Linked DNA regions of Alligator mississippiensis. The protein of the gene in region 2 interacts with the protein of the main gene of each other region in a pairwise test. Links are inferred from orthologs where the notes say so. Each region holds a gene or a part of one and is shown on either strand. Other genes may lie near its edges.

Region 1 (10,358 bases), on a different chromosome or scaffold from region 2:
ACCAGCTGGTGAAGCGCAAACGGGCTGAGGCCACCAACCTGTGGAACGAGCCCGTGGATGCCACCCACATGGAGCGGGATGACGACCGGGAGCTCTACAACCTGCTGCAGAAGCGGGCCAAGCTTCGCCGGGGGTCAGAGGTCGGTGCCCCTACCGCCATCTGTCTGGGGCTCTCCCCCAGGCTGTGGGACTTGCCTGTATCTCCTGTGGGAGATCATTCATTCTCTGCCTGTGTGCTTGGTACTGGACCTGGGCAGGATTTCGGGGTTCTATTTCTGGGGGATATGGCCTGGTGCAAGTCACTTTTGGGTTTCCCCCCTCCTCAACCTGCAGGTTATGAGCTCAGGGCGGGCGCTTGCCCTCACTCTGTGTGCAGCTTCCAGCACAGTGGGGCTCTGAGGCTCTATTTAGCCTTGTAGGTGCTGCTGGAGCACGCTAAACAATAATTTTCCCACCAAAAAGTGGCTGTGAGAGAAGAAATAAGGCCAGGGGGAAGGACTGTGGTGGGGTCCATGGGGTCTTGCCCAAACTGCTGCATCGCCAGAGCACTGGAGTGTTTTAGCCTTCTCTATGCCTCTCTTTTCCAAGTGGGAAAACTGAGGCATGGAAGCACTGTGGCTTCTCACACAGCAGAGTAAGAGCTGGGGTTAGATGCCAGGAGTCCCAGCACTCGGCTCTCCTTGCTCAATGACACTGGATGCAACCCAGCTGATTCCCAGACCCATCCCTCCTGTTCTAACTTGCTGGACACCATGCTGCTCCTAAAGACAGGATGCAACCCCCTGCTCCACACCCCCTGCTGTAACCACTGGATATGCTCTCCAAAGCATCACTGTCCTATCCACCTCCCATGGGTTTCCTAGTGTGTGGGGCCATCACCTGGCAGTTGTTGCTGGATAGAGAAGGCAGTAGGTGAGGTTTGCCATGTGGAGAGGGAGCTGTAGTCTGACACTCAGCTCTATCCCCCTCTGCTGCAGGGGTACCGGCGCCTGAGCTTTGACATCAGTGCCCACCGGCAGATCCGCCGCGAGGTGAAGGACCGGTGGAAGCACATCCTGGAGGCCTTAGGTATGGACACAAGCTTGGTCAAGGGAGCTGGGGGCAGCTGGACAGCTCTGCCCTCCCTCCTGATTCAGATGCCAGTAGTTAGGGCACCCCCTGAAGCCGTGGTGCACATAGGTTGGGCTGGGCTGTGCCTTTGCTCCCAGAAGGTAGCCCTTTGGGCTGGGGGTCATCCTCTCCTCATTCATGCCCTGTGCTAGGCCCCTGGGATGCCAGCATGACCCCTTGATGGTTGAGGGGATGGAGGGTTAGGATGAGGAGCATGGTAGAGGTGTGCATGGGCAATACTTCCAGCAGAGGGTTGTCCTTGCCCTCCCTTTCCTGGGTGCCACCTCTGTAGAGAGCTTGGTCCAGACAGAGGGCAGAACCTAGGGAGAGGTATGGTCTGCCAGTGGCATTTGAGCCCCTTCCAGCTGGTGGTAGAAGAAGGTTTTTACCTCCCTGATACGCTGCATGGTGCTAACAGGGGCCCTCTCTCCTCCAAACCGGGCAGGGTTCAGCGCCGAGGCAGATGGCCTGCTCACTGTCACCTCCACCATGTCCTACAGCTCCCTGCGTCACCCACAGCAAGCCCGTGCCCTGCTCACCACACTGGCCACAGAGACCAGCCTCTTTGACCGCCACTGCAGCCCCCCAGAGAGATACCTCTTTGTCCTGGTATGTGTGTGGGGAGGGGGCTTCTCCTCGAGGCTTGGAGGGGAGAAGCTAACCAAATGGCTGATGCTTCCACCCCCCCTGCCCTGACTCTTGGGGGAGCTGGGACCACCCTGTCTTCACTGCCGTCCCTGCTCTAAATCCCCTTGGGGGTGCAGGGGGATCCCGAGTCATCACTGTGGGCAGCCTGGCTGGGCCCATACAGCCAGCCCTGCCCGCCACCAGCTCCCGTTAGATCTTGGCCCCCCTGTTGCCTGGGCTCCACAGTGCCCTGCAGCCCCTGCTCTGACCTCTGCCACCCTCGCTGTGTTGCCCTCTCCAGGACCGGCTCATTGTCCTCGACGTCGGTGATGACTTTCTCTCTGCGGCCCGGCGCTATTACCCACTGGAGGAAGACAAGGCCCCCCACAGTGAGGAGGAGCCCCTCAGTGAGGAGGCCATCTTGGTGACGCTAAGCCCAGGGCCTGAGCTGCCCAAGGAGGTGGAGGAGGAAGAAGAGGAGGAGGAGGAGATGGCTGAGGAGGTGGATGAAGACACCCTGCTGGCCAAGCTGATGGAGTGAGGCCTGTGTGTGGGCAGCAGTGGGCATTATGGCTGAGGCTGAGAGCTGTCACCTCAGCTCCTACTGTGGCAGGGTGCCTGGCAAGGAGTGGTGAGCGCCCCTCCAGCTGCAAAGGGGCCAGATGGCAGCTCAGACCCTCTCCTGCCCTCTCCCCATGCACAGATTCCCCCCGCACAATGATCCCCCCTCCCAGCCCTGCAGATCCCAATTTTGTGGTTGTCAGTCAGCAGGTGCTGGGGGGGAGGGAGGGAAGAGCATGACCACCTTGCACTTTCCCATCCTGCTAAATTGGAGAGTGGGAGAGCTCCTTGGAAACTGGGAGGTGGTTGCCCAGGGTGCTTGTTGGTTGGAGAAGGTTAGGATCTCCCCACCCAGCCTTCCTCCAGCACAGCCAAACCCGTCAAAAAATTCAGTGCAACAGGTTCACTCCTGGCCCCTGCTAGCACTGAAATGCAGCTACTTCTGGGGTGGAATGAGCCAGCTGGCTGTCAATAGCTGTTTTGGAAGTGAAGAACATCTTAGCCAGGGTGCAGCAGTGACCGGATAAAAGCTTTGAACCTTCCTTTCTTGTTGGTGTTGATTCTTTGGGTTATCAGCAGTCAGCAGCCCCAGTCCAAGCCAAAACGGCCTGTAGTGACTTGTACTGGTGTTACTGGGAGCAGAGGTGGAGACTCTGCTCTTATATGGGAGAGGTCGTTCTGCCAGTGACCTGCAGCTTGCAGGAGGCCTTGCCCCATTCCTGAAGCATAATGATAGGTGTTACCTGCAAGGGACAGTCACACCCATGAAGTAGGATAGGTGACTGCAGCTGGACTAAGGGCTGGTACATGTATTGAACTGGACAAGGTGGAGGCAGGCACTGTTCTATTAAGCTACCTAAAGTGGTAAGGTTTGCTGGTTCCCCAGGTCTGCTGTTCACACCAGGAAAATAATCCCTGGGGGTTTTATTCCTGAGTTTTTCATCATTTCTCCAGGGGAACTCATGGCTTTTTTAGATGCCAAATCAATCACCTGTCCCTACCTCTACCTCTACCATGACAGTCCTTTCCCAGCCGCCTTCTCTTGCCCTCCACCCATCTGCCCCAACTCTGCCATTTCTTACTAAGGCAGCTCCTTGAATCTTCTGGCCCTGGTTTGTGTCCTTCCCCACCAAAGTTATGCCAAGGCTGTTCTGGGTTCAGTCCGCCTCCCAGCTCAGTCCATGCCCTTTCCGGCCGACCCAGGTGTCTGCCTACTCTCCTCTTCTGGGGCTATAGAGCTTTGCAGTACAGCCGTCCTGCCTCTGATACCCCCTTTGCTATATTTCCCACACCTGTTGTATCTTGTCAGTAAACCTCAGCTGTGAGGGTTCAAAGAGGGTATTGGAGCCATCCACTGCCCATGTGCATAAAGAGCCTGGAAAAAGCTCGCCTTCCTACCCCCCATCCCTTCACATTTCCTCTCACTGGAGCCCAACAGGGATTAGCCACAGAAAAGGCCCAGGAGCAAATGGAACCAGAGGGGCAGCCAGAGCTGGCAGCAACGCTATAGGCTGGCATCAGTTGATGTCTCCGAACCAGGGGATTTAGATGGGCTCAGTTCTAATCAGCCTGCCCCCTCTCCGTACACTCCACCCCCCACCCCACTCATCTTGGCTCCAGGGACCTGTTAGCAGTTAACAAGTCTCTAAATCAGTTTGTTTACTGTCCCCTCATCTCCCTCGATTGCTGCCAATGCAACTAGAGTTTCAAAGCAAAAGACTCCCTTACTAGGCTGTGGCTGGATTGCGCGGGGGATTGGGGGGGCATTCTACACAGCTCTGCTATAGGTCTCTGTGATGAGGGCAGTGTGTGTTGGGGGGGCATTGCCTGCTTGGTTTAGCAGCAATGGGGGGGGGGGGGGGGTCCTCTATTTTGGCAAGGGAAGGGGGGACACTATCTGGAAGGCAGCCAGTTGAGATCACAAACAGCAGCTTGCCCCCCCTGGCCTGAGAAAAGTCATTCATGCTGTGGGCAAGAGCCTCGGGAAGCAGGCTGGGCCGCAGCCCTTGGGCCACAAAGCAGCTGTGAGATCAGGAGGAGGTGGAGGGGGCAGATGAGGCCAGGCTGGGCACCAACCACTTGGCAAAGGGGTCCTTCCTGAGGGCACTGGGAATTGAGAAGAGGCAGAGTCTGCTCAGCTGGGTGCTTATCATGTTCCCCAGCCCTGTGGTCAATGTGACACTGTGCCTGACCCAGCTCAGCTACAGATGGCCCTCAGCTCCAGTCCGGTCCTGCTTAACAAGGTGCATTAGCTGGCCTGTCCTTGCCACAACCCCTCTGGCTCCTAGTTCCACCCCCACCCCCCGCATGTCAGAGCTGGGCACGGGGCTCTTCATGTAGTGGCCAGGAGCTGAATGGCCCCTGTGAGTATGAGCCCAGGTGCTGCTCCATCCAGCTGCTGAGCTGTGGGACTTTTACTTGGCTCAGCACCATGGAGCTCAGCTCTCAATGCCCTTGCTTCTTATTAACAGCAGGGACAGGCTGGGGGAATGTGGAGGATGCATGAACTGAGATCCCACCATGCCAGCACCCTGCCAGCCTGTCCCAGTTCCACCTCTCCCTCCACAGGCAGGTGCACATGGTCATGTGTGTGCTTACGGGCAGGGTTTACCTTATGGCAGTAGGTTCTGCATGGGCCCCACTCTTGACCAGAAAGCCTAGGGCTGAAATGGATGGCTGCCAGTTGCACTGCTGATGTGCTCAGCATTGTTCCCTGGGGACCTCTGAGGGAAGAGCCTGGAATTGAGGTGGCAGCTGCCTCTGCACAGGGGATGGGATGTAATTTAGCACCACTTTGTAGGGAAAGGGCCAGCCAGTGGCCTTGTTATATAATCAGGCTTTCAGGCAGGTCTTGGAATTCTTTTACCCCATGAATGGAAAATCAGCTGATGGGCTGGGCCAGTCAGTGGGTGCATTTCCATAGGGATCAGCCTGCAGTCCATGGGATCAAAGGGGATTTTGGAAGCACAAGTGCAGCAACAGCTGCCCTGCACCCTCCAGCATTCATTCACATGCACTGCTTTCACACTGTCCTCCCAACCTTGGTTGGGGTTTGGACATGGCAGCCTGATGGCTTTGACCTGTGAGGGGAGTGACAGGGGCAGACAGGGTTACGGGGATCAAGCATCTTCTCCTGACAAACATTGTTTGCACTCCCATTTTGGTGTTGAGGGAGGAGCTGGGATCTGCCCCATGGATGGCCTGTGCCAGGGCAGTGGAAAGCAGAAATCCTGGGCAGCTAGGGCAACACTGGGCCTGGGAGTGAGTGGGGTCTGGGCCTGGGGTCAAGCAGGGCTGTTAACAGAATGGCTGGTGTTCTGGGCTAACCCAGGTGTTCCTGATGGATGGCATCAAGGGGTCAGTGAGTGCCAGGCAGTGAGGACATCCCTGGTCCATGCTCCAGCCCTGCTGGAGGGAAGGGACCCATGTGGGACTGCTGTCTACCCCAACTCATGGGATAGGAGAGGTGCAGAGAAAATGTCTAGGAGCAGGAACTTGCTGGAATCTTCCCACAGACCAGTGTGACACACACACAGCCACATGCACACACACACACACATATGCAGGCATGCATCATCACACATTTCCCCCAAGCACCTGCTCGTGCCAAGGGGGCCTTGGCTTCAGTCCATGCAACATGTACATGCTGTGCCAGTGACACCTCCTGAAATAGCAGTGGGGAGGCTATATATGCCCAGCCTGGGCAGCCAAATCCCACAGGCTGAGGCACACACACACCTGCCAGAGGAGCCGGCTCTGGACACAGCCATGTTTGGCAAGAGCGTGGTGCTGCGTAGTGCAGGGCTGCTGTCGGCAGCTGAGCTGGGCTGCCTGGTGCAGGAGGAGGACATGGGACGGAAGGAGTCCTTCCAGGCCGAGTGGAAGGACCTGTCGCTCTCCACCAGGCCCGAAGAGGGGTGAGTGATGATGATGAAGCAGGCTCCCCAGGTTTGGGGGGTGGGCACCAGCATTGCTGCAGCCCCTTCTTGGCCAAAGGCATCTTGCCAACAGGGCTGAAGGGAAGCCTGGGACCCTTTGTGGAAATGGGGCCAAGGGTCCTGGAGCAATGTGTGGCCCTGCCTCAGCCCCTCCAAGGTGCCCAGATAGTCACAGGCAGAGGGTCATGGCCCCTGGGCAGAGCAGTGCCCAGTGCTCAGCATCTCCCCCAGCCCATCCCCCTGTGTCTGCCTCTTTCCCCTTGTTCCTTGGCAGGCCTTTGGCCTCTCCCCACTCCAGGAGGTGCACCACCTCCCAAGTGGGAGGGGGAATGGGGAGGGTCATATCCAGTTTGGCCCCATCTCCCTGCCCCAGCACAGCTCTGCCACCTGCTCAGCTGGGGGCAGAAAGGATCTAAGTGTCTGCTCCTTCCCTGGCACTGACAGTCACCACTTTGGGTCCTGGGACTTGTCTGGGCTCCCTGGCTTGGGGAAGTGTGTGTGTGTGGGGGGGGGGGGGGGGGCATGCCCCGCTGGGCTGTGCCCACAGCTCCCTAATGCTGCCCCCTCCCCTCAGCTGCTCCCGGCAGGAGGTGGATGACCAGCACAAGGAGACATTCTGGCAGCAGCAGGAGACGCGCATCGTGGTGCAGCGGTCACCTTGGCAGGTGCTACGGCTGGGCCGCCTGGGTGAACCCCTGGCCCAGTACCACCTGCCATCCCAGCAGGTCCTGCCCCTGCCCATCTTCATGCCAACAGACCTGAGTGCCAAGGCCGAGCGGATGGCCACCCCTCCCCAGCTGCATGATATGCTGGACTTCGAGGCGGCGCTGGCCAGGGGTACCCAGGCCAATGGGCTTTGCCCAGACAAGACGGCCGTGGCCGAGATCACCAAGGAGCTGCCTCCTGTCATCCCACCCAGCCGGCCCAGCTTTGGCAAGGGTGGCCTGCCCCGCTCCCTGTCCCGCTCCCTGTCCCAGGAGGCCCAAAGGGGCTGAGGATCTGGTACATAGACTTTCCTTTAGGGCTCTGTTTTCCCAGTTTATGGCTCCCTCTGCATGAGAAATTCCCACACGCCCTAGTGTGCTGGGACACATGGTTATTAGACAGGCCCGTTGTGGGGCAAATCCATCCCTAGTGTGAGCTCAGTGAGGCTATGCCATGGCTGCATTAGGCTTGTTGAGTTAGACTGTATGCTCTTTGGGGCAGGGACCATGCCAAGTTTGTCTGACACCTTGCATGCCAATGATTGCTCATATAATCAGGCTGTCTCTTTAAAGACTGTCTTCCTGGAGGGGTTGTCAATCAGCTGTCACAATGGCTGATAGATTTAGCTTCATGGAGCAGGGGACCTTTCCAAGAGACATTACTGCTCTTGGGCCCCCAGCTAGGTGAGGGCTAGTGTTTGGAGCAGTTGATTGCAAGCCTGGACAGTGAGAGGAGTGTGTGTTGGTATCTGGAGCCGGGGGAAGCTGGGAATTGGGACCCTTGGGTTCTAGTCTCAGCCTGGTGAAGGCAATACAGGCTAATGGCTAGAGCAGGTGCCTGAGTCAGAAGAGAGTGAGTGGCTGTTGGGAAGGGTGTGCTGTCCAGTAGTTGGAGAGGCTGATAGGACTCCTTTTCCCTGCTGTGCTCCTGACCTGCTGTGTCACTAGGATCACCTTCCCCTTCCTAAACTGGAGCCTTTCTTTTGGATGGAGTGAATTCCCCTGGGCAGAACAGAGGCTGCTTTTACTGCCGTAGGGTGGGGTAGCTAAGGGTACTGGAGGAGGTCAAAGGGTTCAGAGGTAGGGGTGAGCTGGGATACAGGGCTCACTGCAGCACTAAGGAGAGAGGCTCCAGAGGGCAGAAAGTGAGTGAGCTTGGTGCTCCTTCCAGCAGCTTTTGATTCTGGGGAGGAACCTGCTGCACATGTCTCTGTTGTTCATTGTTTTCCCCTGTTTCCATCCAGGATCACATTCTATGAGTCTCATTGAATAATAAAATAAGAAAAGGCTGAGTGAGTCCTTCTGTTTCACTGTGGGACCTGCTCTGGGTTGGGGACACACCCCAGAAGGATCAAAACCCAGGCAGGCCAGGCAAACACTTCCAGCAACTGGCCCCTTTGCCACTGGGACTTCATGCACAGAGGCAGGACATGGGTGTCTTAGGAGTGGGGAACCCAGAACTTCCCCTGGGGAACCTGACCCCCTCCCCCTTAGCTGAACAGCAGCAAATGTTGAGACTCTGCCACCTCCTTCCTGCCACTGGGGGGAGGAATCAGCAAGGTGGACTCTGAGTAGTTCCTTGGTGTGTCTTGCTTGTGTTTACTATATGGACCATCCTAGTCTCAGCATACAAGCCAGCCACTGGGCCAGCAGTCTTAGCCTACACACACACCTGGCTTCCAGGGAGAAACTCAACCCCTAGAACTGACTTCACTCAGAGATGAAGGAAGAAAGCAAACTCCCACTGCTGGCTACAGCACCCCACTGGGGGATGTGCATCACAGACTGACAACCCAGCAGTTCTGCAGCCTGGAAAAGATCTTGTAAGCCATAAATCTTGTACAGCACAATCTGGTGGCTCCTGCTGGCATAACAGACCCTTTGGATTGATGTTGGGTCCTTTGCCAACAGCCCTGTGGTTTCCTGCATAGCACAGGCATGAGCAAAGCCCATGTCCTCGCACAGGGCTGAGACAGTAGGACCTGGTCACAGGTGTCTTCCAGCTGAGTAGAAAGAGCAGCTGCAGCAACAGCTGCCAGAAGCTACTCTTTTATCCTCTTTGATGCCTGCTCTTTGGTGCTCCAGCTTAGAGCTGTATGTCCAGCGCTATTCGGCAGGGTTGGGATGCAGGACTCCTAGGTCCAACTGTCAGAGCCCCTCCTGCCCTCACAATGAGCAGTATCAGGTTGTATTGAGGACCCACAAAGATCCGGCCTGGAGGCCTGTTCTCCATGCAGATGCCCTGAAGAGAAGCCCCCTTCTCTTTGGCTCTGCACTAGGGCTGTCCTGCTTCCCCTGGGCTGGGAAGGAGGAGGTAGGTATGGGACATGCTGCCTCCCGGACCTTTCCAGCACTTGGAGACCCCAGGGCAGCTCCCCTGGCAGACTTTATTTGCTACCTTTGTGGGGGCAGCATAAGGGAACTCAGGTGTCCTGTTCCACCCTTTTCACTACCTCTCCCCAACCCGGAAGAGCTCCAAATGACCCACCCAGGCCTGGACTTAGTACCAAGTAGAGCTTTGTCATGGAGCGGGGCAGGGGGGGTGTTAAGGGAGAGGGTGTGGTGGGGGCAGGGAGGAGGATGAAACCCACAATGTGTGTGGGGGAAGGTACAACCAGGTGTGTTTGGGGGGGGTGAGAATGGGGTGATGCCCAGTGTGTGCAGGGCTGGGGGGAGGGAGGGGAACTGGCCTAGCCTTCCTGACCTCAGCTCAGGGGTGAAGGGGGGGGATTGACCCCCTTCTTCCCCTTATGCTTCCCAGCCATAGGCAGCACAGCCTTTCTGGGGAGCCCCCACGCACTGGTCTCTCCATCCCTGCTGTGTCCCAAGGGCGCTGGGAGGGCAAGCAGGGCAGGGCTGGCTGCCAGGGAGCTGGGAACAGATGGCCAGGGAGGGGGCACATAGCCAGGGAACAGTGTGCTCAGGCCAGGACAGTACAGCTAATCTGGGGTTTGAGGCCTGTGCCTGGTCTCCCTGTACCTCCCTCCTCCACCCTTCCCTCCACAGGGCTGGGCACTCGGACAAGATACAGGATTTGCCATTATTCAGGTGGCGATGCAGTTACATAAGCCAGACAGCTGGCTTTGCTGGTGCCCGTCCAGCCTCATTATTGGGTCCAGGCTCTTCCTGGCCCTCACTGCTGTCCTCAATGCATGTCTTCTCAGCCAGTGGCAACACCCACCCCCACCCTGGCAGGTATGCCAACCCAAGAACCCCCATAACCCACCCCGCACAGGGCTGGGAGGGTGAGGGGAGGCAGAACCATTGCCTCCTACAGAGCCCAGGACACTGTCCTGGCCAATTCTGCCCCAGCATTGGGAGGGGAGTGGAGTCCAGTGGCTAGAGCAGGGGTGGGAGCTAAGTGCAGGGACTCCTAGGTTCTGTCCTGGTGTCTAGGGACAAAAATTACACATAATCT
Region 2 (10,366 bases):
CAGGAGACATCTTCGTGGCCAGGCAGAGCAAGTGTCAACCTCAAGCATGAAGGCTGCGACCCCCACCCCCCAGGCTGAATCCATACCAGGTTCACATGATCAGGGTGTCGCTTCCAGATTCACCAGCAAACCCCAGCGATAAACAGGTTATTATTCCAGATCCCGGCCCCCGGCTGCAGGGAGGCCTGTCAGTACAGGCAGGCGAGAGGGGCTGTGGGGGGTCAGCCCGGCTAATTATAGCCTCCTGACTCACCCGGGCATGATGACAGACGGGCGCGTGTTTACGGGGCTGGTTTTCCCAGGGGCTGTGCTCCAAGCTCATGTAAGAGTGACTCAGGTTTGGGACGGGGGCATCAGGCTGGCTGGGCTGGCCCCTCCATCCCCGTTCAGTGCCATAGGGCTCAGGGCTGGGGCTGGCAGCCAAGAAAGGGGCTAAGGACACAGGTCAGCACCTGCTGCTACCTGCGCTGTTTGGCAGGTCAGTAGACCACCCTGTATCCTTGCTGTGCCCTGGTGTGAAACGTGGCCTGAGCACTCACCAAACCACAGGGAACCAGCCCCAAACCTAGACCACACCTGGGACTGGGATTTCCCAGAGCAGACAGGCCAGGCAGCTCACCAGGGGAGCCCCAAATGCATGGGGGTGTGGGAAGATGGTCCTGTGGGACCCAGCAGAGGAGCTGTGCCGGGGTCAGAGCCCAGCCCAGCTGGACACGGTTTGTTCTGCAGAGGGGACTAAGCTAGACAAGACCGGTTTGCCCCCTAAGCCGGTGTCCGTAGCCTGTTACCCCTGCCTCGCTCCAGCACCGGTGTTGTGGTGCTTGCAGAGACCCAATACAGGGAAACTCCTGCAGCCTCTTGCATATAAATGCCCCCCCTACAACCCAAAGCTGGTTCATGCATCCAGAGGTGGGGAGACTCCCCAGGGCTGCACGCGTGGAACCAGAGAGGACGGGCCCTGGAGAGCAGACATCAGGCCAGGGAACGTCTCCAGACCAGCAGCTGCCACACACAGCATCTCCCAGGCCTAAGACCTCACCGAGAGCAAGAGACCTAGGCAGGCTGGGAAGGTCCATGTGGCATTGGCATGTCGAAGAGGAGGGGGCTGTCTGTGCCCCGATGGGCAGAACCCACCTCCAGATACCAGGGCTGCTCATTCAGGCTGCAGCTTTTTGCTGATGGGGCAACAAGGAGGCTGCCAATTAATGCCAGCTTGGGGGGTGCTTCTTGGGAACGCAGACACCTCTCCCCTGGTGCCCGAGACCCTTCGAGCTAGCTGTGCCCTGGCACCGAGCAGCCAGTTTGCAACAGGTGAGGGCTAGAGGTGACCTGCAAATGAGAGGCTTGAGCATCTGCTGCCTGTCCCTAGAGCCGCTCAGGCCCCACCATTGCTGCTCAGCCTGTTTAGGGCAGAGAGGAAAGGCAGGCTGGAGGGGATCCTGCACCCTACTTGAGCAGGGCTTGGGGGCCAGGCTGCCAAAGGGGAGGGGATGCCCAGAGAGGCAGGTGGGGCACTTTCAGAAGGGCCTGGGCAGACTAGATCCCTGCATCCAAGGCTCTCCAGGTGAGCGCCAGCAGCTGTCAGCATCTCTGCTCATACAGGCCATACCCTCTGCAGCAGAGGTCTGAGCTGCCCCTTGCATAGATGCTCCTCCTGGCTTGCTGGAAAGCTGCTTTCCAGGCACAAAAGGCATCCATGCTGCCCTCAGCACTGCAGGCCTGAATGCACTCGGCTCCTGCAGCAGCGAGTATAACTCCCTGCAGATGAACTATTTCTTGCTGATCGAAGCTATCTGGGGCAAGAAGTTTTGCTCCTAGCCCCAGGACGCAGCAGTTCTGTGACTGGGGAAGTGCCAGGGACCACTGCAGCATGACCAGGCAAGGACTATTCACTGCCTGCTTCATGGACGGCTCTGCTGAGGAGCGGAGCAATGGTTCAGCTGGTCAGCGGCAGAGCCAGGGAGGAGGATGGGGAAAAAGGAAGAAGCCACCCTGACCCCGAACTTCCTCCACTTCAGTCCCCGATCGTGTCAAGTCCTGCAGTCTAAAAGCCCAGAAGCATTTGGTGCTGTTCCTTGCTCCATTGCTTCCAGGAACAAGGCCACACTTGATCCCCTGATCCTTGTGATCTCCTGGGATCGGAGAGCCCTGCCAGCTTCATCATGTGCATTGGGGCCGCGTGGGTCCCAGAGCCAGGACACGGCCTGTTGTTTGTTGTCTTTTATTGCAGGAGAGTTAAGTAACAGGTCTCTGTGGCCAGCTAGGCACGGCACAGCTGTTATTTAGAGCTGTTTCTAGGCTGGCAACCGCTCACATTTCAAAGTGTGAGTCGGGACCTGTGGTTTATGTCTTCTCTGCCTCCCCTTCAAAAAACACCAGCCCAGCAAACGTGTTGCAGTACAGTCCCTTCTTCTTTGGGGGCCTGTGTCAGGGTCTCACCTTCAGGCTGCTCCTAAACCAGCGATTCTCAACCCGGGTACCCCCGAGATCCTTTTGAGGGTGCCCCAGGGCTCGACATGATAAGCACTGTTGGGTGTGCAGTCACCTACACGGGGTTCACACGACAGCCCCAGGGCTCTCCAGAGGGTCACAATCACCCTGCCCCATTGCGATCGGAGATCTTTGCAACAGAATTGCTCTAGTATTTTGCTGTAGTCAAAAATGGAGCGAAAGCCAAGAGCTAGCATTTTCCAAGTAGGGTGGGCTGGGGCCTAGAGAGGTTGGGAAGCACTGACCTAGATGATAGCTGCTTGGAAGGGAAAGCTTTGGGGAAAGGCTGAAATCTCAGCCATGCATGAAGCAGTTTCTGGATTTGGTATCAGCCCCTGAGGAGCTGGGGAGCCAGCTGTAGGCCAGGCGAAGCTTGCCAAAGCAGCCTAGCATGAGGATGTCAGGGAAAAGGGTGAAGCCACATGGTGAGCACGAGCATCAAACATGTTAGCAGAATGCATTTCCATGCTGAAGTGGCTGCCATTAAGGCTGGTGCTTCCCCCTTCTGCAGCACCTACTACCTGGGCATCTCCAAGTGCTTGGACAGCCCAGCATAAAACCATGAAGTAGTCTGACCAACATCGCACCGAGCTGAAGCAGAGGCCAGTTCCCCCAGCTGCTCCACTATTTCGACAGGCAGCCAGGATCCAAGCCCGCCCTGGCAATCCAGTGGCAGTGAGAGGCATGGACACCATGCTTGGGAGAGGTGCCACCTCGGAGAGGTTTTGCTGCAGGATCAGGCCACGCTGAAGTGCTGGAAACTGAAATGCAACTCAGGGGCCCTCAGCATGTGGGCTGCTGCCAGGAGCACAGGGCACAGCTGGGGGACTCAAGCAGCCTGTGTCTGCTGCACATGAAGGTCAAGGCCCTTTGTCCACCAGTCCATCCTCCCCAGTGCCCATCCAGCCCTGCCCTGCACCCCTACACCACTGCACTTCAGCCACCACCTGCTCCCTTTCCAGCCAGGGGCTTGCTGAGGGTGCCGTGGGGGGCACTGTGCATTGCAACGCAAGGCTGCATGCAGGGCTCTCCCTTCGCACGCAAAGCAGAGGGCCCATCTCCTTCAAGAAGCTTCGCTGCCTGACCTACCTCTGAGGACTTATAGGCACTGGCTGGCAGGCTCCCACCCCTCCTCACACTGCAGGCTTTGCCTGAGAGAATTTGCACTTCCCAGCCATCAGCCGCTGTCTGTCACTCCTGACTCATCAGCAGCTCTATATGGAGGGCATTAAAGCCCAGTGCCCAGCCCAGAGAAACTGCCCAGGTCAGCTCTTCCTGCCAGGCCTCTGAGCTGCTGCTTATACTCACGAAACCTCCTGATCCAGCTCCATGAAGCAACAAACAGAGAAGGAGTTAAGGAAACTCATATTAAGGAATAACATGAATGCAGGGGAAATACCTAGATCTCGTGTTTTCTGCATGAGAATGCTATTCTTTCCTCCCTTAAAAGCATCTCATCACAACACCTACCTGCTGCAACCTGAAGTGACCCATCTGACACAGCTGAATCCTAATCAGTGAATCCTGCTGGTAGCTAAACTCATTAGTTCTAGATCAGGCAGTTTAGACCCAAGTAAATGAAGGTAATATGCAGTAGCTGCCTTGGAAATGGAGCGAGTCTGAAGGACTAGTCTAGTGTGAAATTGGTTAACTAATTGTGGATAAAACTGATTAAGAAGGCTGGATGGGCTGCTCTGGCTTGGGCAATACTAATCAGCTTCAGGCTGGCTGCCTGGAAGAGACTAGTTGTGTCACTAATTAGCTCTGGCTAGATTAGTCAAGTCTATAGGATGTGCTAATCAGTGCTGGACAGACGATCAATTAATCTGGGTGAGATCTGAAGGGAGTTGATTAATCCAGCCTGAAATTAATAACAACCTTCCATCAAGGAGAGGAAACCTAAAATGAACTAAATGGCTGAATAGGTTCAGAACGAATCTCTGACGACTCAGCCCTGCCACCCTGGGCTTTTTATCCAAGCAAATCTGCATTAAATAATGCTAGCACCGCTCATCGCCTGCAGCCCACACACCAGACCCATCCCCGATCCAGTTTCACACAGCTCCACCTCTGCACGAACCCGCTCGCAGCGGGGAAGAGAGAGAAACCGCAGGCTGGAAAGCAGAATCCAAGGATCCATGTATTAGCCGGAGGATGGGAGCACTGGAGCTTTTCCTATCAAGCTCCTGGGCCTTTATCAGAGGCACTGGCTCAACAGGGGAGCCAAGGGAGTTGAATGAATCTCCGACTGCCCAGGCTTCCAGAATGGGAGCAGAGATCCACGGTGTTTCTCCTCCCCTCCCACTGCTTTCCCCTTTTATTAGCTTGTGCCAAAGCAAATCATTTCATATCAATTTTCAAACAGCTGGCAGCACGGACTGTGTAGCAGGGCGTCCCTGCTGGCCACTGTAAGGCGCTGCCGCCCTGCCAGCGCCAATTCAGAACCTGAGCACAGCGAAGGACAGTCTGAACCCACCTGGGGAAAAAGCGGGGAGCTAGAAACGAACAGCCAGGGAGCCGACCAAGCACAGGATCAAAGTCCTGAACCTTGGGGCTCTGGTTTTTTTACTGCAGGAAGCGTACAGAGAGAACTTGGACCTCAAGGGCCAGTCTGTATCCACCTGTCCCCTACCTGTAACAGGAGGGGGAGCAATTCGGGGAGGAGCTCATCACCTCCGTCTCCCTGGCCCTGCTACAGCATAAATCAGTCAAGCTCATTTTCTTGCTGTGGGTCTGGAATTGCTTGCAGAGGTATAAAGCTGGGCTCCCCACCTCCAACTCAAAGTGCATTGGAGTGCTTTTCATAATGACCTAAAGCCAAAGGCTCGGGTCTACAGCTAGATTTCAAGCCCATGCTTTTAGCTTTCTTTGGGATGCCAGGTCCCACCCACAGTGTAGGTACAGATCCAGAGCCCCTGCCTCTCAGGGAGCCAGACACTGTAAGGTTACAAGGCACAGACCACTGTGAGCATCTAATATGAACTTCCACCTAACACAGGCCTGAGTAATTCCTGTATTGAGCCACTCTTCTTGCAGCTGAACTGGTTCAGAAGAGAGGCCTGAGGCTAGACTCATGCTGGCTGGCTGCATTTGATTTGGATCCATGGGGGGAAAAAAGGATTGAGCAAACAGACACTTTAAATTAATTATCCAGGGTGAAGGTTTCCCCTTATTAAACCACGTGGGTATCTGTGTAAAGCAGGGCAGACGGCTGGATGTGGTGGAAGGCCTCACCCCATGGATTCTCACTTGATGCAGTCACTGGGAAAATCACCTGCAAGATCTGTTTTTCTTCCAGAGTTTCACATGGCTCCAGAGATTGGCCAGGGAAGCCTTCACCTCCGTTGCAAGATCAAATGCAGCCCAGCTCAGAGCAGCTGTCAGTCCTGGTTCATGGGTCCATGCAGGGCTCATTGCATTTCCCAAGTAACAGGTATCCATGTCACTGGAGTCAGACCCAGGATAGGAGTGAATGGGCCATGAATCCTCTCCCAGGTCTGCTATCAAGACAGAAGGGTTTGTGCAGCACACAGCGAAGAAGCCCTGCACTGGTACTGCCAGTGCCCACCTGGATCCGCTCCATCAGCCAACAGAGGGTCTGTGTCCAGAGACGCTGGTGCTGTCCCTTGCACAGACCAAAATATTCGTTACGGTCTCAGTGACAGGTTTCAGGCCAGCCTGGCAGTGCCAGGCATCATCCCTGCTAGACTGAAGCTCTGCACCGAATAGAGCGCTCCCACTGGGCCTGATTTCTGGCAGGACCCCAGAGACGGTCTGTCTCTGTCCTGCCTCCAGAAGCGCTTGCCAATCTGTGCTGTAGCCCAGACACCACAACACGACCTCTAGTGCCCCAATCCCAGATTATTTACCCCCGGCCAGAGGATAGCTGCTGTGACTATTCTCAGCCCCATGCCCTTAACTGAGGACTCGCGGGCCTGGCACATCTCCCTATGCCAGCCTGAAAAGAAAAGCTGTGGCTTAATCACAGCCCACCCCAGCAGCTAAATAAACCAATGACCCAGGAGCCAAAAAGCTGGGAAGGCGTCGGCAGATCCCAAGCACGTGCTTGCACATACATGCAAATTATGGTGTAGTAATGATGATGCTAATGCCCTGCAATAAGTATATTTTAAGCCAAAGCCCTGCAGGATAAAGACTGCTCTCATCCCCGTTCTGTCGAAGTGAAGAGGACAGAATCAGGGCCTGCTTTTCTGCTCAGCCCATCTGCTTGTCCCATGGACCCATCCTGAGCAAGGCTTGGGATTTTCAGCTCAGTCACCTGATGGGCGGTGGGGGCTTGCTGCTTGGGCTGTGGTCTGTTATGTTCTTCCCAGCCTGAGTTTTCCTACCACGCTTACACAAATGACAAAAGAGATGGGTTTATTTCAATGGTGATGTGCACGGGGGTGCATGCGAGCCCCCTGAGAATGCCAGTGCACCCCCTGATCGGTCACGCTTGCCACTTAGGTGATGGGTGGGGGGCAGGCAGGAATGCCGGTGCCCCCTCTACAAGTGCTGGCTGATTGCTGCAGCCGCTCCTAGAAGCGGCCACGGCCACCCCTGGAAGTAGCTGCGATTGACTGCAGGGGACCCTCCCCCAGGCATCAAGACTGGTTGCAGGGGGGGCACATGCCCCTCCAGACTAAGGCGGCACCAGTCACCCATGGTCTATTTGAATGCCCACTTTATGGAAATGGAAGACTCCTCCCTAGCTTGTTCCTGCGGCTGTACGGTTGAGGGCAAGCGAAACTCGAGGGCATCTGAACCCCAAGCCTCCGGGCGTGGGCCTACGCGTAGGATACCCACCAAAGGATTTGGAAACATCTGCAGCCCCTGGTGGGGTGGAAGATGTTTGCCGGTAGTAGGGCCACTTATGGTCCTTGACTGACTCACGGATTTGGAATTGATTTGGCTGATTTGGCTTGGAACACTAAAAAATGTCTTTACAAAAAAGATGGGTCTATTTGAAGTCAAAGCAAGTAGAAGCCGCCTCCCCTGAGACTGCCTCGATACGTGGCAGGCCCTTGGCTAATTCCCGTATCCAGAACTACTGCATAACTCCCAGGGACCAAGCATGAAACTGAACTGATTGAGCTGTTCCCCCCCCCCCAACAGCAGCCAGATCTTTTGGGTAATTTAGGGACCCCATTAAGGGCTCAATTAGCCGCTAGATGTCACTGCAACTTCACTCAAGGAATTTGACCCGGCTAAAGAGACATCATCCATTTATAATTCAATCTTATGGGAAGATCATCACTTATCATCTACTTCTATTTACTACGGTAACAAGGAACAGTGGATAGCTCCAGTCCTGTAAAGATTTATGCACGTTCTTCACTTAACACCTGTTGGTCAAATATCTGAAGCATTTGCAGTGTGTTGTCTTGATAGTAAGGATAAGCGTATAGTTTATAAAGGTGTACTAGATGTTAGAAGTGTGCTAGCACTACGGATTGTATGCATTACAGACTGGCATTAAGCTCATCAGTAGAAAGGGTTATAGCTGAACTACTCGCGAGCAATCCATTACAATTGGTTAAACGCTAATTATAGTATCCACTTAAACTTTTAAATGGTTTCTTAGGTAACTCGCCACCATACGGTGGCCTCCATTATCAAGCATACAACCCACAGCGAACCAGGCAGCAGGTTTAAAACAAACGCTGGGAAGCACTTTCTTACACAAGGCATGAAGAAGCTGGGGGAAGCGTTGCCGCAAGATCTGGGGGAAGCCAACGGTATCACCAGCCAGGTCAGAACTGAGCTCAGACTGACGCTGGAGGATGGATCTGTCAGGGGCTATGAAGCCCAAGGGCCAGAGAGCCAGTACACTTCTGGGGCTGGGAGGGTAGGACGGGGTGAATCATTCTACCCTGGTTCATAAACTCTTCTTTTAAAGCATCTGTTATCTGCCACTGTCGGAGACCGGGCCTTGGGCTCGCTGGTCTGGTGTTCTTCCGGTTTCGTTCACCCCCTGCGGCAGGATGGCGTACAGAAAGCTGTGCAGAGCACAGTTTAGCGCGGGATTGAAGATGCCCCCACTACAGCACATGCTCTCCTCTTCTCTCAGCCCCACCAAGCACGGACGCTGCCCGACAGCGGTTCCTCGGGGTTTAGCACATAAACCTGCGGTACAAGAGACTCGCTGTCTCAGCCGGACCGTCCTGCTTTCTCCTAAGAGCGTGGGGGTAGCTCCATCCAGGGAATGCAGATCGCCACCCACGCGGCCTTCCAGACTGCGTCCTGGAGAGGGGACCGGACCTGCAGCCGTGCCCCCTGTCCGGAGGAAGAGAGGGCCCAGGCTCAGCCGTCAGAAAGGGCTGTTTCTTGGCCAAGCTGCTTTCTTCCTCCCTTCCGGCCTGGGCTGGGACAGGATCTCAGACTAGGGAGATGTGATGCCCAGCTCAGGCAGAGCAAGAACCAGCCTAGATCTAGACCAGGACATGTCTGCTCCCTCCGTTTTGCCAGGCAGGGACGGCTCCCCCGACACGGGGTGCGACACGGGCGCGAGGATCACTGGCTGGCAGCCGGGCCAGCATCCGGACAGGGGCTACCAGGGGGGGGGTGCACTGGGGTCTAGTGCAGCCGCTGCCAGGCCACACGATAGCAAGTGCCGCGAGGCTTGTGCTCCCGCCTGGCATCTGCGCCCGGTGCAACACCTTGAAAGCCGGCGGGGGACAGGGGCTCTGCCCATTTCCCAGCTGGAACAATGGAGGCAGCATCCCTTTGAGGGAAGGTACCACCCTGCCATCCTCTGGATCTCCCCAAATCACTGCCCGCCATGTGCCTGCAGCAGTTTGGGCACCGTAACCCCATCGCTGGGGGGCAATCCGGGGGGGGGTCGTCCTCCTCCCCCACCCACCCCAGCATCTTTGCAGCCCCCAGCCCGCGGGGCCTGGGCCGCAGCAGGGGGAGGACACTGAGGAGGGTCCGGCGAACGGGATGACCGGCACGGTGGGGCTGCGGCTGCCGGGGGAGGGGGGTTTGCAACCGATCCGGGCCGTTTGCACTAGAGCCGGGGCTGGGCTTGCGAGGAGGGGCAGCGGCAGCAAAGCCGCGCCAGCTGCGTGCATCCCCGCACTCCCCTGCATTGCACTCCCTTTGCATTGTATTGCATTGCGCCCTCTTCCCTTGCATTGCATTGCATTGCGTTGTACCACCTCCACCTTGCATTGCGCTGCGCGCCTCCCCTCCCCCTTGCATTGCATTGCATTGCTTTGCACGCCCGCCCACAGCGCAGCGCGCCCAGGAACAGCCCCGCAAGCCCCTCCCCCGGCCCCGCCTCAGCCAATGGGAAGAGGCGGCGCGCGCCACAATGCCGGCGGAGGAGGCGCGCGCCGCTCCAGCCAATCAGCAGCGGGGTTCAGGGCGCGCATGCGCGCGGCGTGGGGGGGTGTGTCGCGCGGGGAAGGGCAGGCGCCGATCATGGCGGCCGCGCGCGGCGCTGAGGTAACCGGGCGGCGGCGGCGGCGGCGGCGGCTGGGCCTGGCCTGGCCCTGGCCCTGGCCCGGGGGCGGGGGGGGGTCGCCTCGGCTGCCGGCGGCTTCCTGCGGGGCGGGGTGAGGCGAGGCTGTGGGCTGCCTGACACACGCACCCCTCCCGGCGTGTCATTGCACGCACTCGCGGCCCCGCGTCCTTACACGTCAGCTGTGCGCGCACACACACGCGCACCCCCCCCACACACACACACTTACACGTCACCTGTGCACACGCACCCTCCTCAGGCTTCGTGTGTGCGCTGCCCCCGCACGCGTGTGCACCCCCCTCCGCAGACTGTGCGTGCGTGTGTGTGTGTGCACGGCTGACATGCACGCGCACACCTGCACACGCTTCGCCTCCTCCTCGCTCGTGTGTCAGTTGCGTGTGTGCGCGCACA
Region 3 (9,812 bases), on a different chromosome or scaffold from region 2:
TATGTCCCCAGCCCTGCCCACAGTTCACCAGTCCTTTTTTCAGTTCTGCTGGTCCTTACTAACTCCATCCCATCCAGAGGGCCCAGCGCACATACTGCCATGCTGAGAAAACATTCCAGTGCCTTGAGATCCTGCATGGACAAGAGTGAGGGCCTTGCAGGGGGGAAAGCAGGACTTGTAGTGGTGAGGAAGCCAGGAGGTTGGGGAAGCAAAACAAAACCAAAGAAAATCCTCTTGTTGTTTGACTCTTTAGACTTTTCCCAGCACTCATCTGTAGCCATCATGGCATCCACCCTCCCCAGAAGCACAACAGGTGAGAGGGAGCCATCAAGGTATGTTTCCAGAAGATTATTTGAGCTGGTTGATGTTTGCAAGGGCAGGTGACAGGGAAGTCCTGCCATCAAAGACCAAAGATTGCCTGTTGCTGAGCATCTGCTTCAGACCTTGGAAATCTGGGATCATCTACCCTTGGGAAACCACTTCAGTCACCAGAGCAACTGGGAAACTACCTCAAAACCCTCCTTCAGCTGGGCATCTGCTTGATGCTGGAGAGACCTGGGATCTCCTGGGCTCACGGCACAAGATCTCCTACAACTGGGAATCCCCTCAGACATGGGGAGCTTGTCTGGCACCATGTGTGTCACTTTTTTGGGGTGCAGCATGAGGGGAAGGGAAGCTGCATCTCTGACGTGACTGTTGTTTGAATACATGGTGCTTTAGAACAGCTCCACTGACTGTCTGGGAAACTCTCGACAGAGAGCAATACTGAAACGCCATGAAGTCTGGGTCCTGCCTAGCCACATCCATCTCCCCCATTCCCTTCTCACTTGCCTCTCTTATATTGTGGTTATCATGACCACAGCCAGAAACTTGACTTATTCACACAACATGGCAATGTACAGAGTTTTACTGAAGAGCAAGAAAACATTCAGATAAGGGGTCATGCTTAGGGTTATTTATTATCAACTCACTGTGGTGACTGAGACAATCATGAAATCATATATGCTAGGGAAGGAAAAATGTAATAGTTCAGCCATAAGCAATTGGTAGGGGGGGGCATGTGCCCCCCCCTGAGATTGGCCACTGCCGGCTTCTGCAGGCAGTCGCCACTCGCCTCTCCCCCCACCGCGACTGGCTTCTGCGAGTGGTTGCTGCTTGCCATGCTGCCACCACCAGCTTCTGCGGGTGTTCGCCGCTTGCCACACTGCCAGCTTCTGCGGGTGGTCGCCGCTCGCCACCTCGCCACTGCCGACACTGTCGCTGGCTGCCGCAGGTGGTCACTGTACACCACCTCCCTCCACCGCTGCCACCGCCTTCTGCAGGCAGTTGCCACTTGCCACCCCACCGCCAGCACTGCCACCCACAAACTCTGCCCACCCCCCAGTCTTAGGAGGCACCAGTCACCCATGAGCTCAGCTACACTCTGCAGCAACATTTCCTACTGAGTAGTTTCAAGGGTATACAGCTGGTAAATATAGGACTAGAAATATGTTTTTAACACTTGAATAGCCTGTTTGATCTGCCGCAACGTTTGCAGACACAGAATTAGTTGTAATTTTTCTGGTATCTATGCTTTATTAATGTTGCGTACCAAGGACTTAACTTAATAACATGATCCTGATTTGTTTCTCAATAAATGTGTTTTTACTCGAAGCATCTCTTTGCTGTTTCCTAACAACTGGCATATTTCCGACCTAAGACTCTGTGCCCATTTATGAGAATTTCATTTGACCCAATTGTTAGAGCCACTCGCTCCCTTTTCATGATGTGATTCATACTAAGCCCAGTCTTACTCTGCCAGTCCCCTCTCAATACTTTGTGAAGCTGCTTTGCTAAGCGAAGTGAGGGGCACTCCTGCTCTGGGCAACCATGCCAAAAGGCAGAATGCAACAGGGCATGAGCAATCAGATAAAATATGGAATAGGTGTGTGGAACTTGAGCTGAACCAAAGGGCTGGCAAAGAGCATCATGCCAAAGCCTCTCTGCCTGGCTCCAGTGTTGACTGTGCACCTTACCTCATTCAAAGGCAGCTCTTTGCACGCCTGGCCAATTCAATTGTCTGTCCAACAGTCTGCAGTGTAATGCAGACAAGGGTAGGTGCAGCAGCAACCTTTCTCCCCACCCCCTTCTTGATTCCTGCTCCAGCCAAACTTTAAAATCAATTGCCTGGGAGAGGCAGCAGTATTTCTGTTCAGGCAGTGCTGTGGGGGTCCATTGACTTCATGGCTCATTATAATGTAACAGATTTCTCCTAATCTCTCATCATTCCACAAGTGTTTTATGACCTTCTCTCCTTTTTAATGGTGTTGATGTTTCGTTAATTGAGTTACACTTTCTGCTGGTAACCATTCCTACTAATTTCTCATTTATTTCACAACCTGCACACTGTTTTAGTTCTACCTCTAAACCTTATTGGAGATGCTGTCTGTGAAGAAATCCCCCTGTATCTGCCACTTGGGACAAATCAAGTGACCCCTGTATCTCCTGGGTTTCTTCTTGGTACTGGCTGGTCAATCAGGTGACCTGGCCAGATAAAATTCTGAGAGCACCCAAAGAAATCCTTGCCTCTTGCATAATTTCCAGACTATCACAGCTACACCATCACTACACAATCTAGCAAATCAGTGCACATTCCAATAGTTATTTTGCTGTTTGCTTTGATCTTAAGCCAAATAATATAGAGCTGCCCCCGCCCCCCCCCCCCCAGTATAATAGTAAAGCTTCTGGTTTCTCTTTAACTAGAGAAAAAATGTGTGTTGTGCCATATGTGATGATGTGATGTGATACCATATGTCAGAGGTTCCCAAGCAGCGGGCCATGGCCCGGTGCCGGGCTGCAAAGGGTTGGCGGTCGTGGCACTAGCCCCGCTCCTATAAGCCCCCACAGTGAGGGAGGGAGTGGGGCTGCTGGGGCCAGGACAGGCGTTGAACAGCAGGGCGGACTGCAAGATGGAGCCATGGCTCATTCTGCGGGGGGGGTGCGGGTGGCTCCCACCATTGCATGCACCCTGGGAGGGCATGGTGGGGGACACATGCCCCCAGATCTGTTCACGAGGCAGGGCGGGGTGGGGCATGCTGGGGACGGCACTGGGCTCTTCCCAGTGGTGGCTGGGTGGGGCTGTGCCCAGGGCAGGTGGTGACAGTGCTGGGAGTGGGGCTACAGGAGGGGCTGCAACCATTCCAAAATTCACTGTAGCCCCCCAACTCCGCCTCCCAGCTCAGCCTGGCCCAACACCCTCGCCAGGAACAGCCCAGCACTGCTCTGGCCCCAGCCTGCTCTGCCCTGCGCACAGATCCGGGGGCATATGCCCCCAATGCCCTCCCAGGGTGCACGCAATGGTAGGAGCTGCCCCCATGGCCCCCGGGCAAGCTGCGGCTCTGTCCAGCGCTCCACCTGGCTATGCAGTACTTGCCCCAGCCTCAGCAGCCCCACTCCCTCACCACAGGGGCCTACAGGAGCAGGGCTACAAGGGAGGGCTGCAGCCACTCCAGAATTTGCCGTAGTCCCCCCAAAGCAACCTCTCAGTGCCGCTGCTGCCTGCCCTGAGCCCAGCCCAGCCCAGCCCACAGCCACAGCCCATCCTGCCCTGCATGCAGATCAGGACACATGCCCCCCCAAGCCCTCCCAGGGCCCGCGCAGTGCCAGGAGCCGCCCCCCATCCCTGCGCTGCTCAGTCCTGTGCCCCACCCCAACTGGGCAGCCCCTGCCCCAGCCCCACTCACGGCGAAATGTTGGCAAGTCGAAGACTGTCTCCTGAACTACATGAGGTGGTGAGTGATGTGATTCACACTGTCAATCACATCAAAGCACATGCACGGAATTCACGTTTGTCCGCATCGCTATGCAAGGATATGGGCGCTGAACACAAGCAGCTTCTCCTGCATACAGAATATCATTGGCTATCGAGAGGGAAGGCCCTGACCAGAGTCTTTGAATCAAGAAAGCAGTTGCAGAGATTTGTCTCAGACAAAAAATCACCATTAGCTGTGCATTTCAATAACAAGAACTGGCTTGTTAAGCTCACTTATTTGAGCAACATATTCACGGTACTGAATAAACTCACTCTCTCGATGCAAGGGAGAATGGCATCTGTTTTTAAAATGGCAGATAAAATCACAGCCTTCAAAACCAAGCCGAAAACCTGGGGGAAACATGTGGATAGGGGAGTCTTTGACATGTTCCAGAATTTTGTGGATTTTTCAGAAGAAGCTGTGGGACTTTTTGTACCAATGGCGCTGCTATGATGACTGGAAAGCTTTCTGGCTTCATGACCAGGGTAAAAGAAGTGGCACCTGAATGTAAGTCTACCCACTGTGCAATTCACCGCGAAAAGTTGGCAAGTCAAAGATTGATTCTTGAAGTATGTGTTGAGTGATGTGATTCATATTGTCAATCATATCAAAGCACGTGCACTGAATTCACGTTTGTCTGCGTCGCTATGCGAGGATACGGGCGCCGAACAATCCGAGAATCGGGAAACAGTGGATCCGTGATCCATTTCTGAATGCCCGCAAGGAGTTGTCCTTGCCACCACTTTGAGTTAACATGTGACAAAGGACTTAAAACATTGTTCAAGGCAACCTCATCTCTGTCGTCCTGGATTAAAATTAAGGACTAATATCCAGAACTCAGCACCCTAGCTCTGAAGACCTTGCTGCCTTTTCCATCTACCTATCTTTGTGAAGTGGATTTCTCTGCAATGACGGAGGAGGCTGGACGTGAGAAACACATTGCAAGTCTCGTTGTCAACCATCACACCTCAGTATTACCTGTTTGCATCCGGCAAGCAAGCCCAGGGATCCCACTGATCCTTTATTGATGATGATCTTGATTGTTAAATAAAACAGAGGTCACTCTGTTTTGCACCGTGCCTTTGCCTACTGAGTTCGCTTTGTGCCATACATAGCCTCATACACGCTACCTTAAGTTACCTTCCTGCTGCTGCAGGCTCCCGGCCCTGCAGCTCCCCCTGCTCCATCACCTCCTGCAGCCCTGCTTGCCGCACCTCCCACCAGCAGGGAGCGCGCACGCGCCCACCCATCCCACTCCTAGGCTACCTCCTAGCCGCCCCTCCAGCACCTCCTCTGCGCATGCGTACCCCTTTGCCTCGCTCTTTGCGCATGCGCCACCCGTCTTTTGGCGCATGTGTGCTTCCCTGCCCATGACCTCTTCCGGCGCATGCGTTGTTTCCTCCAGCTAGTTCGCCGCTGTAGGGCAAGATGGCGGCCTCCTCTGTGTGTCGGGCCGGCTGCGCCGCGGGCCGAGTCCTCCTACGGGGGCCCCGCTCCTCGGTGAGCGCCGCCCGCTCGGGACGGGGCGGGGACCTGGGGCGGAGGGAGCGGATCCTGGCAGCGGGGAGCGGGTCCGAGGGGGGACGCCCGGGCCCTCGCGCCGGGGAAGGTCATGGGGTCGCTGCCCGCGGCGGTCGCCATGGAAACGTCGTGGGGGGGCAGAGTGGGATGAACGTTCGGAGAGGGCTCGGTGACGTCAAAAGGGGGGGCACCGCGCCCGCCTGCGTTAACCCTTGCGGGGCCGGCAGGCTGCAGGCGCAGAGGGGTTACAGCAGCACCCCGGGGCGGGGGCTGGGGAGTGAGGGGCAGAGCTGCACCTTCCCCACGCAGTGCCAACCCGTCGTGCCCTGCTGTCTGCCTGCCTGTGGAGTGGGGTAGGCAGCCTGGAGAAGAGTGATTGCGCCCAAAAGCTAGCAAAAAACTTTCCAAATACTCAGTTGGTCTAGTAAAAGATATCACATCTGCCCAGAGAAGTGGCCTGCCTGGGCACCTGTGGGCATTTCTTGCTTAAAGAAGCAAGATAGTCTATATTATGCTGTGAGAGTCACAGTTTGATCATGTTTTTCTCTTTAGCCAGCCCTGTTGAATTTAACAAGGAATCGCAGTGCAGTTTCCTATGCCCAGGTACTCCACAGTCTTCCAGAGACTCAGGTCACCACTCTTGACAATGGCCTCCGTGTGGCATCTGAGGAGTCTGGCCAACCTACATGCACGGTAATTTTTAAGGTGGAATCGGGGTTTATTTTAGGATGACTCAGTTCTGTACCAAGTTTCTCGACTTTCAAAGGAGCACAGCCTTTATTTGAACCAAGATTGGCAGCAGAGATCTAGCAGGAGGTAAACTATAAATTTAGTCTGTAAGGTTCAAGTCTACTTTGCCTGACTTCAGACTAACTTCCTCTTTCAGCAGAGATGTAGTCTGTCTTTTGTTGTTAGCTGTTAGGGTCACAACCTGGTCAGTGGAATCAGTAGCAAAAGGTATTGATTGCTTTGCTTTGGAATGAGTCTAAAATGCTTCCAGTGATACTTTTGTGCTCTGTTCAGATTGCTCATCCATACTGCTTTTTGAATGAAGACAGTTTTCGTATGAGCAGGACAGCTGTTCATTGTTGAATACAACTTGGACAAATTGAGAGAGAAGATTAGCAAACATTGCTAGATGCATGGCATAAATAAAGTAATCTTTTAAACCTATGATGCAAAATAATTGTCCCCATGTGTGACACCAGATGTATCTGGTCTTGTTTTTAGTTCTGGAAAATTAAGAAGCTAAAACTGAGGCTGATTAGGAGAGCAAAGTGTGTCATTGCCTGCAAATATGGTACTCAGAGATGTGAGGCAGAAAATTTTCCAGTTCTTTATTTTTCCATGGGAAACCTTCCATTTCTAAAAATTCACTGTTTCAATGACTGGATGCCAATACAGTGTTAGCAAGTCTGAGTTTCAAAGCTGTAATTATTGTTTTTCGGGTGATTATCCCTAGGAAGTGTGTGAGAGAGTACATATATGTTTTATTGATTTGTAAACAGGAGGGTAAATACACTCATATAATAATCCAAACCAAAAAGTCAAGGGATAAATTCACCTAATTCACTGTGCAGGTCAAATCAAAACCAAATGAACACACTGCTAAGCTTATTTCTGTTTCTCAAAATCTCTTGCTTCTTTCCAATTCTACAGAAGCACAATTTGTGAAAAAGATGTAGTGTGATGATAAGTTACCCTTGCCCATAGACTCATTAGTAAAACTATCCTTTAGCGAAAGAGAATATGGTTCAGGTAGTTCTGAATCAGATTTGCCTCAATCTGATTCTGAAATGGAACTAATAAGTAATGCAAGTGATTCTACAGCTAGTGACAGTGAAACTGGAGGTGCTGCAAGGACCTCGGTGGAAGAGGGTTAAACTCTGAAGTAGATGAGTGGAAACCTCTGCATATCATAGCTTTGAATTTGTTTGAATGTAACATTTAAACCACATTAAGTGTGTTGCATTTAATTTTTTTCCTAATCAAATATTTCAGTTCAAATACTTGTGGCTATTGAGACAGAAAATTAATATGGAGGTGTTTTTTTAGTTTTGTTTACTAAATGTAAGTCAAATAAATGTGCTAAATCAGATCATTCTCTATTTAGAGCATTGGAAAATTTTCCAATTCAAATTTTTTCAGAAAACCCACATCTGATGGTACTTGCTCAGCATTGTTTCTCATGAGACACTGAAGGCTGGGGCCACAGATAGAGACCTTTATATGCTTATGTTATGCTCTTGCCAGTGGGTGTGCATATGTGACACCCTCTTCCCTCCCCCCCCCCCCCCCCCAAAAAAAAAATTGTAGGAAGCTTATTAATTTTTGCTTGCATTATTTCCTTTAGCATATTTACTTGGGGCATCTCTCTTCTCAGGTGGGCTTGTGGATCCAGGTAGGGAGCCGCTATGAAAATGAAAAGAACAATGGAGCAGGCTACTTTGTGGAACATCTGGCATTCAAGGTAAGATTGTAACTGGAGCTGGGAACTGCCATGGGACTTGGCCCAAGACAGTTACTTATATATCACACTGGGTTTTTTGGAGCCCCACTCTTGATTTCTTTTTCTCTTTATTCACTTTGTTGTCTCATGTTTTGGTGGGTCAAGACTGTGATAAGGAACTGGATTTTTCTATCTACAACAGGGGTTGTCAACTGGGGATATGCATACCCCTAGGGTACGTGGAAAGGTCCTAGGGGGTACATGCGACCAGGCAGGGACAGCGCTCCACCACCCGTCACCCCATGCTGCTGCCTCCCAGGAGCAGGGCTGGGGGAGGGGCGAGGGCAGTGGTGCCCCTCTGTGGGCTGCACAGGTGCCTGCTGGGGTGGGGGGGCTCGTATGTGGTGGCTACCGCTGCCATCCACTACCCTGCACTACTGCTGCACACTGCTTTCCCACAGCCGGTTGCACACACGGCTCCGCAGGCTGCTGACAGGCAGCACACAATTAGCTGGGTGCGAGGCCCGTCAGCAGGCCACAGAGCCACAAGTGCAACCAGCCATGGGAAAGCAGGGCAGTGGGTAGTGGCGGCAGCACAGTGACGTAGATGGCAACGGCTGTTGCTGTGTGCAAGCCCCCCTGATCCGTGTCTGGCCGCTGCCACCAGAAGGCTGAAAACCCCTGATCTACTGTTTCTGAGCACCAGAATATGCGCACACATCTTTGTTCTCTATCTTATACAACCTTTGGTTGTGTGAAAAGGAAAGGGCTCTATAGAGAACTTAGTATGGTGGCATCCCAATCTTGATTCAGGTCTCTGGCTCAGTTATAATGTATATGAAAACAAACTACTCTAGATACTTGGAAGGAAATAAAAATTGAGGCGATCCCATGTTAGTGCATGTTTGCAGATAAAGTGTTTTGAAGTCTTTGTACAGACTTGATTCTTTGCAGGGGCAGAATTTAGAGCAATGGCTTTTGTCATTGCTTGTGGGATTCATGTGCATAACTTGCCAGAGTGTTTCACATGTTGGTTGTGGGGTTGTACAGTTAGCTTTGAGATTAGAGCTCCTAGTCATTGCCATGACAGTTAGGGACTCCAGTAAATGTAAGATAAGGGTGCAGCATCCTGACAGTTGCACAGGAGAACTGTTGTGGGAATTCCAGAATATTTTGAATGACACTGATTTAGCCCACTTCAACAAAAATCGCTTCATCTTTTAAGAGAGCTTATTTGCTTAACTGAGATACCAGCCCCTTTATCTTTTTATGGACATAAAGATGGCTGAAAAGATTCTGTGGTTTGCTCTGATATGTAATTCAGGTCAAAGGAAACACTGCTTAGCATTTGAGAACTTGAGGGGCTGGAGACTTCCTTCTGATCTCAACATTTATTTACACTAGAGAAACCTGCATAAAAATGTGTATTCATGCTTATCCAATATGAAAAGAACAAGGCTGTTAAAAGAATGGCTGTGTATGGCTGTGAGTTTCTAGCCTTTCTAAAGAGGCAGCCATCTGCTGAACAACACTTGCTGTAATGCAGATGCATCTGCTGAGTCGTAGGAGCACAGGACTGGAAAGGACCTCCTGGATTATCTAGTTCTGTCTCCTACCATTGCAGGTAACTCCACTGTGTAATCCCTTTCATAACCTGTCAAACTCCATCTTAATCTAGATGGTCTTTTGCCTCTGTGACCTCTGTCAGAAGACTCTTCCAGAGCATCCTTGCTGTGGCTAGAAACCTTCTAATTTCCAGCATAAATTTATGGCCAGTTCATACCCATGCTGCCTTGTCAACGTTGTCTTCCAGTGTTAATATCTCTTTCCCGACTAATAGTAGTTATCCTCCAGCTTTTGTTTTGCAAGACCAAACAAGCCCGTTCTAAGGTCTCCATTCCCACAATCATCCTAGTAACCTCTCTAACCCCAGTCCAGTTTGAATTCATTTTTCTTGCACCTGAGTTACTAGAACTATATGCAGTGGTCCTGAGGTCACCACACACTCTTGTACAGTGGTATTCCTACTTCCCTACCTTTTACTAGAAATA

What was found. The genes of interacting proteins can lie anywhere in the genome.
Region 1: the proteins of TRIM63 (region 2) and TCAP interact in a two-hybrid assay, tested with the Homo sapiens proteins (3 studies listed by BioGRID and IntAct). The link is inferred for Alligator mississippiensis from reciprocal best matches to the Homo sapiens genes TRIM63 and TCAP.
Region 3: the proteins of TRIM63 (region 2) and cytochrome b-c1 complex subunit 1, mitochondrial interact in a two-hybrid assay, tested with the Homo sapiens proteins (2 studies listed by BioGRID and IntAct). The link is inferred for Alligator mississippiensis from reciprocal best matches to the Homo sapiens genes TRIM63 and UQCRC1.

Annotation. Positions count from the first base shown.
Region 1 is NC_081827.1:165,411,539-165,421,896, reverse strand, and holds TCAP (telethonin), read left to right. Parts: upstream 1-5,995; 5' UTR 5,996-6,066; coding exon 6,067-6,215; intron 6,216-6,810; coding exon 6,811-7,231; 3' UTR 7,232-8,229; downstream 8,230-10,358. Other genes in the region: melanoregulin, read left to right, coding at 1-140, 978-1,068, 1,556-1,719, 2,039-2,278. UniProt on the Homo sapiens protein: Muscle assembly regulating factor. Mediates the antiparallel assembly of titin (TTN) molecules at the sarcomeric Z-disk.
Region 2 is NC_081829.1:3,275,682-3,286,047, reverse strand, and holds the start of TRIM63 (E3 ubiquitin-protein ligase TRIM63), read right to left. Parts: upstream 4,504-10,366; 5' UTR 1-4,503. UniProt on the Homo sapiens protein: E3 ubiquitin ligase. Mediates the ubiquitination and subsequent proteasomal degradation of CKM, GMEB1 and HIBADH.
Region 3 is NC_081835.1:20,054,326-20,064,137, reverse strand, and holds the start of cytochrome b-c1 complex subunit 1, mitochondrial, read left to right. Parts: upstream 1-5,183; 5' UTR 5,184-5,219; coding exon 5,220-5,291; intron 5,292-5,864; coding exon 5,865-6,005; intron 6,006-7,695; coding exon 7,696-7,782; intron 7,783-9,812. Other genes in the region: CELSR3 (cadherin EGF LAG seven-pass G-type receptor 3), read left to right, coding at 254-277. UniProt on the Homo sapiens protein: Component of the ubiquinol-cytochrome c oxidoreductase, a multisubunit transmembrane complex that is part of the mitochondrial electron transport chain which drives oxidative phosphorylation.